Linked DNA regions of Tribolium castaneum. The protein of the gene in region 1 interacts with the protein of each later gene in a pairwise test. Links are inferred from orthologs where the notes say so. Each region holds a gene or a part of one and is shown in the gene's direction. Other genes may lie near its edges. The genes, in order: G1/S-specific cyclin-D2 and eIF3k.

Region 1 (9,956 bases):
TCGCCACCTTATGCACGTCATATTATCGCCAAGGAAGAACCACTACATGATTTCCGGTTACTGCTTAAAGAAAGCTGAAGATTTGTCCGCTAGACATGGAGCAAGAGAGACACAAGCTTCTACCAGTTTTGAGAATCTCCTAACAAATGTGGACAGCTACGAAACCAATTGTAGCAAAACGGACGATCTTAGTCTAAACTCCCTTCTTAAAAATCACAGCACGTTTAAGTTTTCGCGACTGTATAAGTCGGTGTTACTGAAACCGAAGTCGAAACCTGTGGTAAAGCTCAAGACAGCTACTACGTCCATAAAACCAGTGTCAGGGGGCGCAATGGAAGTGAACGTGCTCCCACTTCCAAGACGGTCCTCACACCGGGACACTGAGACTATTGAAATTGATTGTGGCTCTACTTCGCAAGATGGGGTTTCGAAACCAGCGAGTGATGTTTACGATTTGGACGAAGTCACTTCGCGACTACCAAAAAAATTGTCCGACGATACGAACTCAAGTGCTCTAGTGCCGGAGAGAACTTTGAAATGCACACACAAAGACATGCACAACCATAAGAAGACTCTTGTTTTGACCATCAAAGAGGTGCCCAAACGTCGGATTTACTTCGATAAAGACAGTCCGGGGGATGATTTCATTGTGCCACTGCCAAGAGTTCATAAGTTTTGTCGGTGGAGGATGATTTATCTGAATTCCGACTTCAGTTACCTCAACTTTACCAAATCAAACTACTCCATTAAATACACAGATTTGTTGGATGTTGTGAAAATGGCAAGTACGGTGAGATCAACGATAACGCTTCGCAATCAGGAGATCCGACAGTTTTATAAAACTTACACGTTTGGGATTTTTTGCGTTCCTGACCACCAAGACCGCATCTTTGTGGGTCCTTACCTCAAAACAGAGAACCACAATGTTGAAACGTTGAGGTATTTACAAGGGAAGTTGATCGACACTGAGACGTTCAATAAGATAATTGGGAAGAAATTTAACGAACGAAGCCCTGTCTGGCTTTATGAAACGCTACCTCGTAACAGCATACCCGACGGACTTGTGATAGACATAACTGAAGACGATGAGGTCCCTAATGACGTTTCATCAGAACCCTCATCCCGGAATCTGCTTTGTCCACCGTTCGTTACAGCATTAAGTGACGAAGAGTTGAAGGCGAAGCACAGTATTAACAGATACATCGTTACTAATATCCCTTACTTGGGATATTTCGGTGCTTGCCAGCGCGACAGCAAAGAAATTGAGGTCTTTTGGCCCAACAATACAAGAGGTTACCGGTTTCCAAACGTGACTCTTGCCAAAAATTTGTTAATACAGTAAGTAATTCACGAAGATTTGCAATTTTCCAACGTTTGGTTGTAGCTACTTGTCCCAAATTTTCTGCCCCATCCCCCAAACGTTTAAAATCAATGTTATAATAATGACGCAGCTAGACCTAAAGACAAACACGCCGGTCAAAGCCAGATATTTGACCGAACCTGGACCCTTTGTAAGTTAGCGCAAATTTTAGGAAACTATCTTTTAACTTTAAAATAGTTCTGCGGCGAGTTTGGTATCTACGAGAAGGAGAGTGTTCCCGAAGACCTGCTCCAAGAGTGTAACGTGCCGTCGCTCGACTCACTTTTACAAACGTATAAAGAATCTCTAGAAAATGACGAATCAATTGTCAAGTTGTTCGGTTTGTTCCTAATGTCGAACGAGGAGTTGCGGAAGTTCCCTGAGCCCCAACAAATCATACAATGGGTACGTATTTCGTTGCTTTAGCTTTCGTAATGATTTTTGATAGGCGCGGACCGAGATTTACATCCAGGAGAAACTCTCCGATAATTACGAATCGGAAAAAAGCGATTTAAAATCGATGATTAGCAGCAAAATGCAACGAATAAAACTGTTGCGGAGAGGAATAAGAGACGATCAAATGAGCAGTAAAGTGTCGGAAACTATCGAGATTCCGGATTCCGATGATGAAGATCGCCACGTGTCTAAAGTATTCGTAATGCAATCGGCACAAAAAGGAAAAAGTTTTGTGCTGAAACAGAATATATCAGTACTCAAAGAGAAAGACGCCAAACAATCGCCAGTGAAAAACCTCGGAATGCCAGTTGTAAAGAAAGTTATTTGATAATCCAATATTGTTACTTATTGTTGTAAAGAAGCTACCTAATTAATTATCCACACCCACATTGACAATGATTTAAGTGATCGAAGACTGGAACTGGATGTTTGTGTTATTAATTTTTATATATTAGTTTTCTTGTATTTGTAACGTGGGAAGACCCTGCAATAATGTGATTATTAGTGTTTAGTTTCATTGAATAAATTTGTTTACGAGCAAATTGTAGTTTTACTAACCCTTACACAAAATTGACTGATAATTAAAAGTGAATTAAGCGAGATGATAAAGCATGTGGAGGAATTCATGTATGACTAAAGGGGTGACGTGTTGGGGTTGCTGAGGTAAAGTGGTCATGTGTGTGATTCAGTCCATTAGATGCTTCAGAAGGCGGGTGCAAGAATTTAAAACAAACAGTGCATACAAATATTTTTTCTACAACCAAAAGGATAATACGTATGAGGGCCGCGCTAGGTTTTTACGAAGTCTGGGAACAATTTACATTTTGCCGCCTCCTTAGTCTTACTTTTGAAACGTGGGTATAATTTACAATAACTTAACTAGGGTTTTTTCCGTCAAGATTGCTCAAAATTCGGGAAATTGTGTCGAAAGTGGTGTTATTTTTGTATTTTTCGAGCACTTAATCACGTTAAAACTCAGTTTTTTTGACTAAATTAGGTAAAATTATTGTTTATCCTTTTTTTCGAAACGCTGTTATATTTCGTAACTTTAATCAAAAATACGCAGAAAAATTTTAGAAGTAGATATGTCTAATGATGTACTTTTTACTTTTTTGGGGCGTTAAGGTAAAAAATTTCAATAATTTTTTATTTTTGGGCTGTTTAGCATGATTTTTTCAATTCAAATATGCGTTTATTTTGAGGAGTTTCGTCTAAAATAAGCCGAAGACTCAAAATGATATTTGTTTTTCTCTTTTTCAGGGGTTTTACTTTGTTTTTTGGAAACCGATTTATTTCCAAAAGTTACGATAAAATTGCTCTGGTTGCTTTGGCACAATTTGAAAACGCCGTTTATGCGAAATTTTGCTAAACTGAGCTGAAAAATCATTAAATTGGATTGAAAATAAAATGATTTTACAATGTTTGCGTTATATTAACACTCATTGTCATTCACAAACGCAATTATTCACCAAAGTTTCGGTCGTAAATGGTGTTATTTTTGCCTTTTTTTGGCCGCTTTTGAGCTAAAAAATCACAAAACCTGAACGAATATGCCATTATTTTGACGACATATTTGGATAGTTTTTCGTCCAAAAACGTAATTGTTTTGCAAATTTCATGATTTTTTTAAATTCAGATATGCGATTATTATTTTAAGGAGTTTCGTCTCAAAAAAAAACGAAAAGTTAAAATAACATTTATTTTTTCCTTTTTCATTGGTTTTATCTTGTTTCTCGAAGACGGATTTATTTTCAAAAGTCACTTGTTTTGTGTGTTTTAACACATTTCCAGTCAGAAACACAGTTGTTTATTAAAATGTCAAAAATTAATCGAACAACCTTAACATTAGTTCAAAAAGCGCAGCAAGTTTCTAGCATCGAGGCATATTAATTAGATAAAAATGCAGTTTTTGCGAAACTTTGCTAAACTGGGCTGAAAAATTAATAAATTGAATCGAAAATAATATTATTTTACAATGTTTGCGTTATATTAACAAGTTTTTCTTACACAAACGCAATTATTCAGCAAAGTTTCGATCTAAATGGTGTTATTTTTGTCTTTTTTGGCCGCTTTATCGTATTTTTGAGTTTGAAAAATCACAAAACCTGAATCGAATACATGTGGGCCATTATTTCGACAATATCTTGTTTTTCGTCCAACAGTGCAATTGTTTATTGCGAAATTTCGATAAAAATAAACCAAAAAATTGCCAAATTAAGTCGAAAATGTTGCTAGTTTTGCTTTTTACAAGCTTTTTTCCAGTGAAAATATCATTTTTTTACGAAGTGCACTCAAAATATACCAAACAAATAGTTGAATTGTTATTAAAACAAATAAATTAAATGTCTTTATTATTAATAATTTTGTGCAGATAAAAAATGAACTCTAAATTGATGCCTGAAGAGGCCACATAATAAATGGTCGAAACATCTAGCAAATTAAAAAATAAAACTTTAGAAGAAGGACAAAGACGTTTGTATTATTAATTGTTATTCTTTATGAATTTTGAGCCCCCTCCCCATTGATTACTTAAGAGATTGTTTTTTTTATTGTATGCATCAATTTTGACTGTGATTTTGTTAAAAAACAGAGAAAATTACAACATTTATTACTTTAGCAATAATTGTTTTTTTGCTATTTTATTTTCGTATTATTATTTTTTACTTTGCTTTTATATTACTGAGAATACAACTTTTTGTTTTCATATTACTTTAAAAATGTATAATTTTTTGTTTATTTTTGCTATGGTTTTCTTTTTGCATTTTTAAAATGTAAACTGAATTTTTGGAATTTGCGTGTTTTTTTTTTGAATAAGTGAGGTGACATTGTGAAGACGCAAGATCCTCCTCACCTGGTGTCAATATTGATTTTCCTTGACACCTTATGTAGATGAAGGCGATACAAAAACGGAATTCGGATGATGGAGCGCTTATTAAAAATTGTAGCAGATGTTCCTCTGATTATATACAGGTAGACCTCGAAACTGGAAGTGCAGGTCCTTTCCTGTCCACAGCCCAGGTGTCGCACTCCCTGAGCGCGCTTGCGCCTTCCCCCCACGTGCACCATCACAACAATAATTAATTTTCCTTCGCCACCGCTGCCACCAGTTGCGAAAGAACTACAAGAGGCAGAGGAGTAGTCGATCGTTCAAACGCGCGCAAACCACGTGAAGTGTAGTGTCATGGATCTCGCTTGTACGGAAAAAATCACCGCTCCGACCTACGCCCCCAAAGACCCCAACATCTTCAACGACTTTCGCGTCATGAAACACCTACTGAGCGACGAAGTGTTGTACACACCCCACACTAACTATTTTCAAAACGTTCAAACCGACATCGAACCCTTTATGCGAAAAGTTGTAGCGACTTGGATGCTGGAGGTAATTGAGACGTTGCACATTTGGGCGAGGGGTTGGTTATTTCAAATTGGTCGTTTCAGGTCTGTGAAGAACAAATGTGTGAAGACCAGATTCTTCCATTGGCGGTTAATCTAATGGATCGGTTTCTCTGTGTGTGCCCTATCAGAAGGCAGCAGTTACAACTCCTGGGGGCCACTTGCCTCCTCATCGCCTCCAAAGTCAGGAGTACGAATATTTTGCCCATTGACCTGCTCTGTGCCTACACCGACTACAGTGTCACTAGCGAAATGTTGGTGGTAAGTCAGAATTTGTTTAACTCTTGTGTTACCAAATCATCGTGTTAAAATATTCTTCCTCTCGACACCATCCAACAGAGGTGTCTTTGTTGACACGAGTCAATTATTCAATGAACGAATTGTTGATAAAAATAGCGAAATTCGTATTTTTTTCACCCGGAAATAGGCTCTGTGTTATAAATTACTGATGAGAGTTGACATTTGTAACTTTTGACTCTGAGATAAGTTCAAATTGCAGTACGGATTATTTCACTTTCCATGGAATTCTTTTGGTTGCCTCGTGTCAGGAAAGATTCGATCGATCAAAGGAATGCCGCGTCAAGCTCATAAAACCCAATTAAATGTTTTAAAAAACCTATTTTCCTTTTTTCTCTTCGTCGAAATATGAACGATTTCAATGTACAGGCAGGATGTTGTTAGGTCATTTGTCTGGGTATATTTTTTCTACAGTTAAACTAAAACTAAGTCTAATCGGAAAAGATCAGCTGATATTCGGATTGTTTTGCCCACTGTGTAATGATTGGATTGGATTGATTGTCTTCTAACTCGGACAAACGGATTATCTAGAATTACTTTTTACGAAACATTTTTAGTTTTTTATATTAAAAGCTACAATTAAAACAAATTTTTAAATCACCTAGATTTTCGAGTTGATGCTAGGGTAAGCTTTAAAATGCTACAGTAAAACTTCTATTATCCGAAAAAAAAACAAGTGACTCACTTTCGGAACATGCACAATTTAGGTATTCGATATTTTTACTGTGCCTTATTCAAAAAGAAAATTAATTAACTAACATTAAGTAGCTGCGAAAAATGATTTCTTATGTTATCTGAGCACAAGCAATGCTTAAATGTTGTGTGTAGAAAATTCGTAAAAAATGGCATATGGTAGCAAAAAATAAAGTATTTTTAGAGAACTCACCCTTTACAATTACACAGAGTGAGTTAAAAGAATTACATTCTTTTATTTTTCAAAAATAAACAAAATGAAAAACAGATAATTTAGCATTTTTTAAATGGAACGATACCATTTTTTTTTAATTAGAAGCACTACCGATAGGTCTTTACAAGTGTGGTACTTATTTTTAATATGAATGAAGAAACCTTAATATATATTTTTTGAAATCATTGCCACAAAACGACGTATACAATTCATATTTTTTTTATTACAAAAATTATAAACAGGTAACCTAGCATTTTAATTGAGCTCATATTTGACGTGACTGAGTCATGGCGGCCAATATGGCGGCGCGGCACCATAATGTCACAGAATTTTTAAATGGAACGATATGATTTTTCTTTTATAATTGGAAGTTCTACTAGTAGGTCTTTGCAATTGTGCTACTTATTTTTAATGTGAATGAAGCAAACACGAAAAAATTTTTATTAGTAAAGTAAAAAATGTATATGAATTGGCCGCTGTGTTCCAGTTAGGTCAGAATTGAGCTCCATTAAAATACTAAGTTACGTGTTTGGGCATTTTTATTTTATTTTAGAAAAATAACTAAAACATGAATTTTATGATTATAATTTATAAAATATAATATATAAAATTATAAAAATTTCAATTTTTTCCGCGTTTGGTTCACCCACATGCAAAATAAGTAGCACAGTTGTAAAGAACTATTAGTACAGCTTCTAATTATACAAAAAAGGTATCGTTTCATTAAAAAAATTATGATGACGTCTTAGGGCTGCCATATTGTCCGCCATAATTTATCCAGGTAGGTCAGATTTAAGCCTAATTAAAATGGTAAATTACCTGTTTTACATTTTTTTTTATTAAAAAAAAGAATTACGAATTTTATGCGTTACTTTAAACTTTGTATATTTCATTGTTCATTCATTTTAATTAAGAAAAAAATTTTGTTCGGTAACACACCCTTATTATAGTATATATTTTATAGTTTATGTATTTTAATTAAGAACTTTTTTTTAATTCGATAAGTGATAGTCCGGACGACTCTGCCATACCTAATTAGTTCGGTTGATGGAGGTTTTACTGTATTCAGCTCGGAAAAATCTTGATTGTTCACCTCCAAGATTTAACTGTAAGCCCCAAGATTGTGAAATTCAAGTTTCTTTATCTTTAGTAAAAAAATATCGGTTTTTGAGAAACTCGCGTGCATCAAAACAACAAAAATGTTTTTTTTTGAATTTATATTTTTTACTGGTTGGTATAAAATATTTTTAATTTTACTTATCAATAGAAAGATCGATTCAAATATTGACCGAAACATCCTTAACTGATGGGTCGTTTGTACGAGTTTTTTTTCTAGAAAATGATTTTTAAACTTTTTGAAAAACATAGAAGACTTTGGTTTCTCACATCCAGAAACCTAATATTTTGTATTTCCAACACGCATTTGACCTGTTATTTTCAACAGTTTTTGAGAGTTTTTACTTAAAACTAATTAACTTTCTCGAAGTTTGATAAATACACTATACTTGATTAGTGTTTCTTTAATCACAATTTCTTTCTGGTCAAAATAAGTGCCCTTTTAAGGGAAGAAGCAGAGCATCAACCCATTTCGATCATTATCTTGCCAAATAACTTTTGTCGCGCTACCGCTTCGTGCCGTCCAAACATCCGTCATTTCCCATTTCCTTTTCACCAAATCACCACCATACATCTAAGGATATACGAAATTTCTTGATAGTACTAAGACAATACTGCATATATCCGGACCCATTATCTACTCATCTCTCCTCGAAGACATGGCTTGCCTCGAGCGCTCCATTGTCCGGTTATTACTTTGATTGTTGCTTCCGTAAACTGCGACGAAATTCCGACCGCAAATTGGTCGACTAGGTGCAAGCAATCAGTTGGGGTGCGCAACCACCCTGAATCCTGTAGGTTAAGATGATATCCTCGACTAGTTTCACGCTCTCGAATCCTTTTTTACACTCGCTTTAATCGGAAGCTGGATGGGAAGAACCCGAAGCTTTATTTACAGTTCCGGTCCTTTCTGGGACCCTTGTCTGTCCCCTTTTGACTGGTTATTATTAACTTGTCCAAAACGGCCCGGATTGGAATATATCACAAAAGGTGGTGCTTTCTCACACGGGAACATGGGGTGCACAACAAGTGACCTTTGTGACCGTTAATAAAATTATTAGCTCATCGCGCGTAGTCAAGCATGAACAAGACGTGTCGTTAGTGTTTCTCGGGGGTTTTTCTGTATCATTATTTGAGGCAGGATTTTGGGAAGGAAATAGGGGAGAAACGGACGTTTCCCACGAGTTTTTTCCGAAATTTGCAACTTCTGCCAACTGACCTAGAGAGTCTAGACGGGAGACAGACGTTGCTCGAGAATTCAAACTGATTTTATCGTCATCTGCTCGTTTAGATAAAGGAAGAACCAAAATGACAATTTGTGCCAGCAAAAAGTCGACGAATTTTTCGCAACATCTGCACGCATTAATTAATCACAAAACAGCTATTATGTAAATTTATTGCGTCGGCAGTTTGCCCCGACCTTGGCGAATTACACTGCCCGTTTTTTAAATTTAATACATTATTTTTTAATACTTTATTTTATTTTTTATTTGCCTGTGGGAATTTTGGGCCCAACTGGGTCGTGGGTTCCAAACCCGATAAAATCGTGCAGCATGCGCTTATCAGCGCGCATTTTCCGCGTATGTCGCGTTTCCAACGACCACAAATTAGCATTAATTGTGCTGGGGCGACCGCATCGTTGTGACAAATTTGAATGGTCATCTGGTGGCCCCGTGAGAACAAAGCGGAGCAAAATCGTAGCATCTTGGGGTGATGTGCCGTTAAGGAGGGTGTCGAGACAATACCCCGTCTGTGGGAATGTGGGGAGGGGGAGTGAAATGATAATTAATTAAGAGGGTCTTGATACAAGTTTCGGTTTTTATTTTTGCAGAGTTGGGAACTCCTGGTGTTGTCCAAACTCAAATGGAATATCGCCGCGATTACTGGCTTCGATTTCATCGATCAAATCATCGAGAGGTGTTCGTGGGGCGGCGAAAGCAGTTTGTTGAGGAGGCACGCGCACACCCTCGTCTCCATCTGTTACACAGGTAAGAAACACCTGACATTCAGCAATTAACTTCGACGAGATAGCGAGCAAATGAGCCGCTTCCGTCAAAGTACATTAGGAAGTGGAGGAAAAAACAAATGCGTTCGTAATTTCTGAACACAACGGGCGTACTGTTTCACGAATTATTTCGTCAATAATACAAACAATAACAACCAAAAGATCCTAAAAGGATTCCGTTTATCCAATGAAAAATTCGATTGGAGAAGTTGTGTGAAATCATAATTTTTTTACACCGTTCGGAATTAGTAAACGTTAAACCTTAACTTTTCGTGTAGAACAGTAGAACTTCGGTTATCCGGTCTCTTCTTGGGCAATGTTGAAGAATCGAATACTGGCTATAACCCTTAAAAAATTTCAATGAACCATATTAATGCATTTATAACACGTAATCGAAAATGAACTGGCAATTTTGCCACATG
Region 2 (8,407 bases), about 360 kb from region 1:
CTGCAAAGGCAACATAAATTTCAGTTTCAGCAGCCACTAGGTAGATACTTCCTTCAAAACTGGTTCCGTGTTAATGACATTGTCTCCGGTCCAACAAACTTATTATATAAACTCGATGAATATCATTCATTAACAATTTCCACACCATTTTTGAAAATTTGAAAAATGAATACGAAGGATAAATAAGGGAGCATCTATTTTCAGAAAAAGGAATAATTTGCAAAATAGCGATGAAATGTTCCATCTCTCCCAAACCAAGCTTTAGAAGCAACAAATAGTTTATTTATTATGTTTTAAACGTTTATGAGAAGTTTATTGATAAGTTCCACAATAACTGGATTAAGAAAATGTTGGAGCTTTAATGCCCATTTAATAACAATTTAAAAACTTGTACTTTTTTGCTATTTAGATAATTATTTTGTTCAAAATCAAAAATAGTTATTTTAGAATATAAATGAGTCAAAATTTTGGGTCTAACTTTTTGACTCTAATTTTTCGTTGCTTCTAATATCAAAAATGGTGAAGTCTGTTATTTTAATGTATTAATGTTTACATATTACGATTAGGTACGTTACTGAAACATAAAAAAGTGTTATCCGATATTATTAATTTTGAGCTCGCTTGTACTTAAGCTATGAGAATAAAAGTTGGGCTTTAACGACATTTTGGATTTTTATAGCCATTTTGGTATCTATTTAACCACACCTCAGTTTATCTTTTAAGTTGAAAAACTTACTCCTAGTTTTTTTGTAAAGCAGTGTAACTTATTTTACATCAGAAGATACGGGTTTTACGGGTTTCAAAAGTCAAAATTTTGGTACCCAGAGTGTTTTTCGGGAATAACTTACGAATTATTTGACGTAGTCCTATTATTTATTATTGTAGAAAAGCTCTTTTAATTATATAACCTTTTAAAAAAAGATCATTGTCCTGCGACTAACAGTTTTTGAGAAAATTGCCAATAAAAGCAAAAATAAGTAAAATTTATATGTGGTGATTTCTAAAAACTTGAAAACCATAAAGAATTTTGCAATTTGCTTGACGTCTATCGATTTTCCAAGTCATTTTACACAACCTTACATCGAAATAAGTAGTTTAATTTTTTCGATTTTTTTTTTTTTTCGAAACATACAAAAGCCAGATTTTGAAAATGTTGCAAAATCGGGCATTTTGTTTGAAAGAGATTATTAGGCCTCATATTTCATCGTAGTTTTTCTAGTGTCGCTACAAACAGCGTTTGAAAATTGAAATTATTTTTGTTCTAAAGAAATTCAAAATTAGAAAATTAAAACTTCCAGCTTTGTTTGTTCAAAAACAGTTTTTGTACTTTTATTTTGTATTTTTTCCGATTTTTGTGGGATGGGTCTAAAATTGTATAATAATAATAAGGACGTAGGTTCTTTAAGTAGGTAAATATTCTTAGATTAAGTCCAAACAGCTTTGTACTCTTTTGTAAGTGGAAATGTATCCAAAAGCAAGCTGTATATACAACCATCAATACACAAGTGTTGCAATGTTTTTTAAAACACAAATAAGATTTTTTTTACAAAATAGCAGGATTATGTGGTAGGGTCTTGTTATCATCTTTTTATATTACAGTTTGAAGTATTTTTTAATAAAAATCGAATCGGTAGGTATTCGGTAATTTTCAATTTTAAATTTAAGTTGCACCAACCTAACAAGATTTACAAAAATAATTTAGGGTGTGATTTTTTTAACATGTATTTTTAAAATGTGAGGTATTTCAATTATTCAACAATAAGCTAATTTTGTTTCATCCCCGAGGCCACAATTGAACTCACCCCCTTGTTATAACAATAAGTCACCTGATCTTTCCTACTCCTAACCTCAGTTTTAAGTTTACGAAACGTCAAATCACAAACGAAAAGGGGCGTCGAAGACAACAATGAGTAAACATCCCTACAATTACGGTGCTACTGCGTCCACTGACGTAGGTTTCATCGGTAAGCGCTCCCCCGAATTCAATAATTTATGCGATGGCGTCGTAACAAACATTTACACAATCAACTCAAGTCTCAAGACCTTAGACAACGCTTTAAAAACAATCGGAACCAGAAAAGACAATCAGGGATTAAGAAGTTCAATGTAAGTCTTTTCCCTTCTGGAATTTCAATCACTTCCCTAATTCTAGACACGTCACTCAATTGAGCACAAACCAGATCGCATCAGTCACAAGCAAAGACATTCACAAGCTCAAGCAACTTGTATCCAAAAGCGAGAAACAGCAGCAGTTGCAAGTAGAAAAGTTAGAAGAGAATTTTAAAGAAGCGATCACGCGCTACTATTCCTTACAAAAGGACTTGGCCAACAAGCAGAAATCACATTTATTGGTTTCTGTAAGCATAGAAAATGACTACACGCCGGAAGAAGACACAGAACAGCAACGGCAAGCTCAGCTTGCACGCGAAATGGCGTTTGAGCAAGATATGCTCATGGAGAGAGAAGCTAGGATTAAACAAATTGAAGCCGATGTACTTGATGTTAACGAAATCATGCGCGAATTGGGGTCCTTAGTGCACGCCCAAGCGGAAACAATCGGTATTGAGCTAACTTTTAAAAAAATCGGGAGATTAATCAACTCTTTTTTTAAGATACTATTGAAAATAGCATAGACCATGCAACTGGCAATGTGGAAGAAGCGACAGAACAGTTAATTACAGCAGCGAGTTATCAGAATAAGTATAGGCGCAAGTTGCTATTCATGGTACTGATAGGACTTGCAATAGTTGCAATAATTATTATAATACTAGTTGTACAGTTTAAAAAGTAGCTGCGTAATATTACTTTTCTTTATAATTACTCAAACCTGTTTTTGTGGTGAATAACTGCTTGATATATTTATATACAGTATACACAGACTTTTTATAGCAACTAATCTTATCATAGAATTTATATTTATTTATGTAATTATCTTAATCACAAAATATGAATGATATTTAGTTTTTTTGTATAATTATCCATAAAATTCTATGAGAACCGCAAAAAATAAGTAGTGACATGAAACACTCTGTAGTTAAAATGTAGGCAACACATAAAACAACAGTTCCCTATCGCTTACAGCGGCCTCTGTTCCAAAAACTTTGAATTTTAAACGTCATTAAGACGTGTTTTTTGAGAAAGTTGTGCTTTTTTCTCATTTTTTAGTGAAAAACAAATTGAAAACCATGGCCGAAGCAATGAAACAAACTGTGGCAGCAATGCTTAAAGGCATTGAACGGTATTGTTATTCTTTTATTACGTTTTTTTACCATGCATTGGACTTAACCTCTATTTTCAGGTACAACCCTGATAATTTACCGACTTTGGAGCACTACGTGGAGATACAATCGCGCGAAAATGCCTACGATTTAGAGGCTAACTTGGCCGTCCTTAAATTGTACCAATTTAACCCTAGTAGCTTCAATATCGACATCACAAGTCAAATCCTGCTCAAGGCTTTGACAAACCTTCCAAACACGAATTTTATTTTGTGCAAATGTCTTTTGAACGAACGACAGGTTAATAAATTCAGTCAATATATTTGTTTTGCAAAAAAAAAACATTTTTTAGCTGGCGGAAGAACCCATCAACCAAATTATCTACTTGGCCGACATTTTGGAACAGTGCGATTTTCAATTGTTCTGGACCAGAATCCACTCAATGCCAGAGTTGACCCAACGAATTACCGGATTTTTAGACTCAATCCGGAAATTTGTGTGTCACGTAGTTGGAATCACGTATCAGACCATTGAAAGGTCCCATTTGGCCGAATTATTGGGAGACGTTGATGACCTTACGTTGAAAGTCTGGGTCAATAAGTATGGATGGAAGGAACAGGGCCAGTTGATTTTCATTGCCAATCAAGACGAAAACATCAAAACTAAAAATATTAACGAGAAAATCGATTTCGAAAATGTCGGAGCCATTATGGCTTCATGTCGCTGATTTGTATTTTAATTTTTCAATAATAAAATAAAACTACTTCGTGTCTACGGACCTCTAAATGCTAGGATACGAAACGACCAAATAAATCGTCCCCGTCCTTGATAGTTCCGTTAATATCACCAGAGAGCGCAGTTACTTGAGTTTTCAGAGCAATGAACTTGAAAAAATGGTTGCATTTGTGTAATAGTTAACACACAGCAATAAAAAAATACAAGCAAATTGGGGATTAAATTTCAATAGTAAGACAAACAATGCAAAAATTTTATCGTAAATTATATTTTAAATAAATTAAAACTTTTGGCACTGTGTCCCATATTTTTCAAAAGGCTGCGAATACGCTTACAGATACAAAAAAGTGTAAGGAACAACGTTGTAAAGAATTAAATTTCCTATCAAAAAATTCGCGACACCATATCTTTGGCACTCAAACCGTTGATGGTCTCCCAGACTTTTTAAAGGAAAATATAAATTTCTTCCTTTTATTTTATATCTTGTTTCGTCTCCTACAGAAGTAATAATCTGTATTCGTGTGATTGTTTCGGATGGGAACCCCCTCTATGTACAGTCCTGCGAATGAAGTTATACAATATGGAAGATGGTTAGTTCTAGTGTTTCATGCCAAACTCTCAAGACCAGAGTTCGAAAAAAACACCGCAGGTCCTTTAAAAGTAATTTAAACCGGCGCTCTCGCAGAAAAAGTAGTTTATTGAGGTACTACAGTACGATACGATTTAAACCTAAGGCGGACGCTTTGTGTGCGGGTATTACAGTGGTTGATATTATTGGCATGGAGTGGACGCCTGTTTCGTCTCCGGCGACAGAGGTCGCTGAGTGGCACAAACAGGAGCAAGTTGCTTACTGGAAATCACGGGCTTTGAGCCTCGAATATGAAAATCAAATGTTAATTAGACACCTTCGTAATGTTTATGCGAAACAAACGGAGGATTATGCGAATTACGTGAAGGAGCAAGGGCAGATTGAAGATGCTCCCGTGGAAGCCGAAACGGGGCCCGTTGGGCGAAAAAGGCGGGAAGAGATGGACAAGTTGTATGGAAAAAAGGCCTCGAAGATAATGGGAATGGAGACGGCTGTTCAGTTGAATTACGACCTGCATTTGGAGGACGCTGGGAAGCTGGCGCATTGGCCCCACACCCCTTTAAATTTGAGATTTGATGCTTGATTATGTTAATAAAGTTTGGTATTAATTTTGCATTTGTTGGTTTTATTGAAGGAGAGAGCGTAATTACGGATCATCCTGAATTTAATCCCTTCGGTGATGATGTGATTGGCCGTGTAATTATGAAGATAATGACACATTCGTGTGCATTTTTATTATAATTTATTTTACATTAGAGACGAGTATTTTAGATTACACGCTTTTTCTCAGACTGACTTCAGACGTCGGTAATTAAAAAGAAATAAAACTTTTTACATTCCCTGTGCATAATTGAGCGTATTTAGATTTTGCATTGTTACATAAATAGACAATTGTGGTCAAATTATAGGAGGTATTTCCGGTTTTTACCACGCACGGACGACTTTTTTCAGCTTAAAAAAGATGTAGTTTGGAGATTCACTCGACGTGTGAACGTTTCGAAATGTGAAGAAATAAGATAAGGACGTGATACGAGACTCTTAAATTAATCGAACCGATAGAATCTAATTAATCCCAATGCCATCTCGGCCGTTAGAACAGCTTATGATGCGTGCCTCCATATATGAAGCTGCCCCATCCGTGTTGTTCTTGTGATCATAATTAGATTCGAATACGTACATTTTTTCCAACACACTAAATTAATCATCAATTTTATTTCGCAAACCGTTTTGTTTTCAACCAAAAATAACAAATTACTAAAATATTCAAAGTGCTATTTATGAATTTGAATCCTCATTTTAATTTCAAAGCGAGCTTATTTATTGGATACTTCTAAATTTATAACAATTTATTTATACCGAGGCACTTTCTTCCAGTGTACAGTTAACTACCTTGGAAAAATAGTTTATATATAAACAATATTTTATATTTGATTTCAGATTTACATAATTATGAATTTATTTCAATATTTAACTGTAACTTATTCACCCATATTTTGTTTCCACCAGGACAATGACTTGAATACTACGAATTGATTATCGCTTTATTGTTTCTAAAAATAATTGTAAACACGTGCAACTTGTTACAACTTATGTTTAAAAAGCAGAGATCGTACGTATCTACAGTTTTTTCTTTTATCTTTTATAAATTGCTTCAGATACACGTAGCCACAACATTTTTATGCATTACAAGCAGGCAACTTAGAAATGCCTTACAGGATGAGTGTCATAACATTCCTCAAGGGGGCATCTAACACCTGATTGAAGACATGCAGCGTAGAATTAAGAATTTGTGGAAGTAATTTAATAATGTACTCGTACCACCAAATGATAGGTTGGTATTTTCTATAAGAAGCTTAAAGGAAAGAAAAGTATTTATAAAATGTTTTTCTTTAGTCGAGGAAAGTTGCAATTTGTTGTGTTATTTTATAGGACGAAAAAAATATTTCGAAGTGATTCCAATGAGCGCGATTTTTGATATTTCGCTGTAAATAAGCTTTGTGGCGTTTTTCTATTTCGTCATCGCGCTTCATTAATCACATCACTGTTTTAAATCCACTTTTTCCGCTTCCCAGAATTCGATCGGTTTCTTTGGCCTTTCGTGGTCTATCGGTTAACTCGAAATTTTTTCGCCGGTGCAGCTTTTGTCGACTCATCCTCAGCGGCTCGGAAAAAGGCAAAAACTCGGAGAAATTTTTCACGGCGAAGAGAAAGGATCAGATAGGTGTACAGAGGGAAATTCCTCTAATTGCAAATAAATTTGTGTCGGGCATGGATCAGATAAGTTCTATCATATCGTTTAATTAGCGGAAACGAGCGTCGAGCTCTGTCCGTTTTCCAAAATTCGTCGTGCAAATAAATAAGCGTTGTGAGAACCGTAAATTCGGGACCGTCAGGTAATAATTTGGGCAGGTATACTGTTGTGTACAAGAAGTGATACGCTTCATTCATTCCATTGTGTGAAACCATCGGATTTTTGTGTGCTTTTGTAGCGCCGTTGGTTTCCTGTGTGTCGGGCCACTTTCATGACTCGATAAAAACTCATACGATTTCAGTTCTCTGAAATAATTAGTGTAATAACATGGACGCGGCACGCACGGACTCTACAACGAGAATGTTCTTAATAGTTTATATGGCATAGGGAAATCATACGTCTATTCCGAGGAGGAACGCGACGAAAGATACACAACTGTTGCACTCGCAACCAAGCTGACCACCTTTCCAGGACCGTAATAGGAAATTATTATTGGACAAGCGATGGAGCCGCATCTGATATAACGCTTGCAGGAAATATTGACAATTAACGAGAAATTATCTTTCGAAATATTTTATGCCAACGTTCTCAGCTCAAAAACATTTATTCTGCTGTGATATACCTACTCAAACACCACTTTTATTTTTTTCCTTTAATACTAACTGATGTATGAATCTTTTCGATGTAATTCAAAGTCGTCAAGCATTGCTTCACAATATTAAATATGCACTTAGTGTCAAAAATGAATAAAACATTTGATTTATTTATCGTAATCAACGTATCGTGTATCCAGCGTCTGATCATCTAACATCAAATTACCGTCTCCGTCTGTTTATTTGCAAAAAATATGGTGGTATTGTATTGTGTGTTTATAGCTATCAAGAGCATTTACGACCACAATATCACTGGAAATCTGAAAATCACCCATGAAATAGTCCAATTGTTTATATTGTTTCAACATCTTTTCTAAAAATTTAAAACACGTGCAAACAATATTTGATTTTTTTTAAGTTAAACTTAAGATTCTCCCACATTTACAGAGCAATCAAACAAGAAATCAAGTTTTGTGCACTTTTAAATTTGTCAAATAAAAATTTTTCGGCAAAACTGTACGTTTTTTAGAAGAAAAAGTTGTGTTCGGGCGAATTGCAGAACTCATTTTACGTAGTATAGATTGGTATACACTAGGTTTTTTATAATTGGAATAAAGTTTAATGACGTTAAGAAAGCTTCATTAACAGGTCCTAAATAAAATGACGATTTGCAACGTTTCGTTTATATGTTAAACTTCATCAGGCCTTTAACTCGTTCATATTCTTGGAAGTAACATTGATATATGTAATTGACAATAACATAACAACAACACATTTTTACGCCAAATGTTTTTTATAATATTTGAATGTTTAAAATTTTTGTCTAAATCTTTCTAATCCTGCTTTTTCAACGAATTTTTCTTGAAAACAGTTTACCGTAGAGCATTATAACCTAGACCATAGGGTTTAGCCTGTAATTTTACGTCTGGAAAACCAGCATATTTGCAACATTTTGGCGATCTTAATAGTTTTTTGGTTTTTGATGTTACATAAGAATCTGCTTACTTACCTTCGAAAAAAA

Evidence for each region.
Region 2: the proteins of G1/S-specific cyclin-D2 (region 1) and eIF3k interact in a two-hybrid assay, tested with the Homo sapiens proteins (2 studies listed by BioGRID and IntAct). The link is inferred for Tribolium castaneum from reciprocal best matches to the Homo sapiens genes CCND3 and EIF3K.

Annotation. Positions count from the first base shown.
Region 1 is NC_087402.1:8,521,586-8,531,541, reverse strand, and holds the start of G1/S-specific cyclin-D2, read left to right. Parts: upstream 1-4,865; 5' UTR 4,866-4,997; coding exon 4,998-5,195; intron 5,196-5,254; coding exon 5,255-5,470; intron 5,471-9,360; coding exon 9,361-9,517; intron 9,518-9,956. Other genes in the region: uncharacterized protein ocm, read left to right, coding at 1-1,338, 1,385-1,511, 1,559-1,765, 1,809-2,144. UniProt on the Homo sapiens protein: Regulatory component of the cyclin D3-CDK4 (DC) complex that phosphorylates and inhibits members of the retinoblastoma (RB) protein family including RB1 and regulates the cell-cycle during G(1)/S transition.
Region 2 is NC_087402.1:8,157,954-8,166,360, reverse strand, and holds eIF3k (eukaryotic translation initiation factor 3 subunit K), read left to right. Parts: upstream 1-3,078; 5' UTR 3,079-3,185; coding exon 3,186-3,238; intron 3,239-3,298; coding exon 3,299-3,518; intron 3,519-3,570; coding exon 3,571-3,945; 3' UTR 3,946-3,990; downstream 3,991-8,407. Other genes in the region: Syx13 (syntaxin-12), read left to right, coding at 1,907-2,106, 2,153-2,559, 2,613-2,791; gem-associated protein 8, read left to right, coding at 4,534-4,543, 4,716-5,125. UniProt on the Homo sapiens protein: Component of the eukaryotic translation initiation factor 3 (eIF-3) complex, which is required for several steps in the initiation of protein synthesis.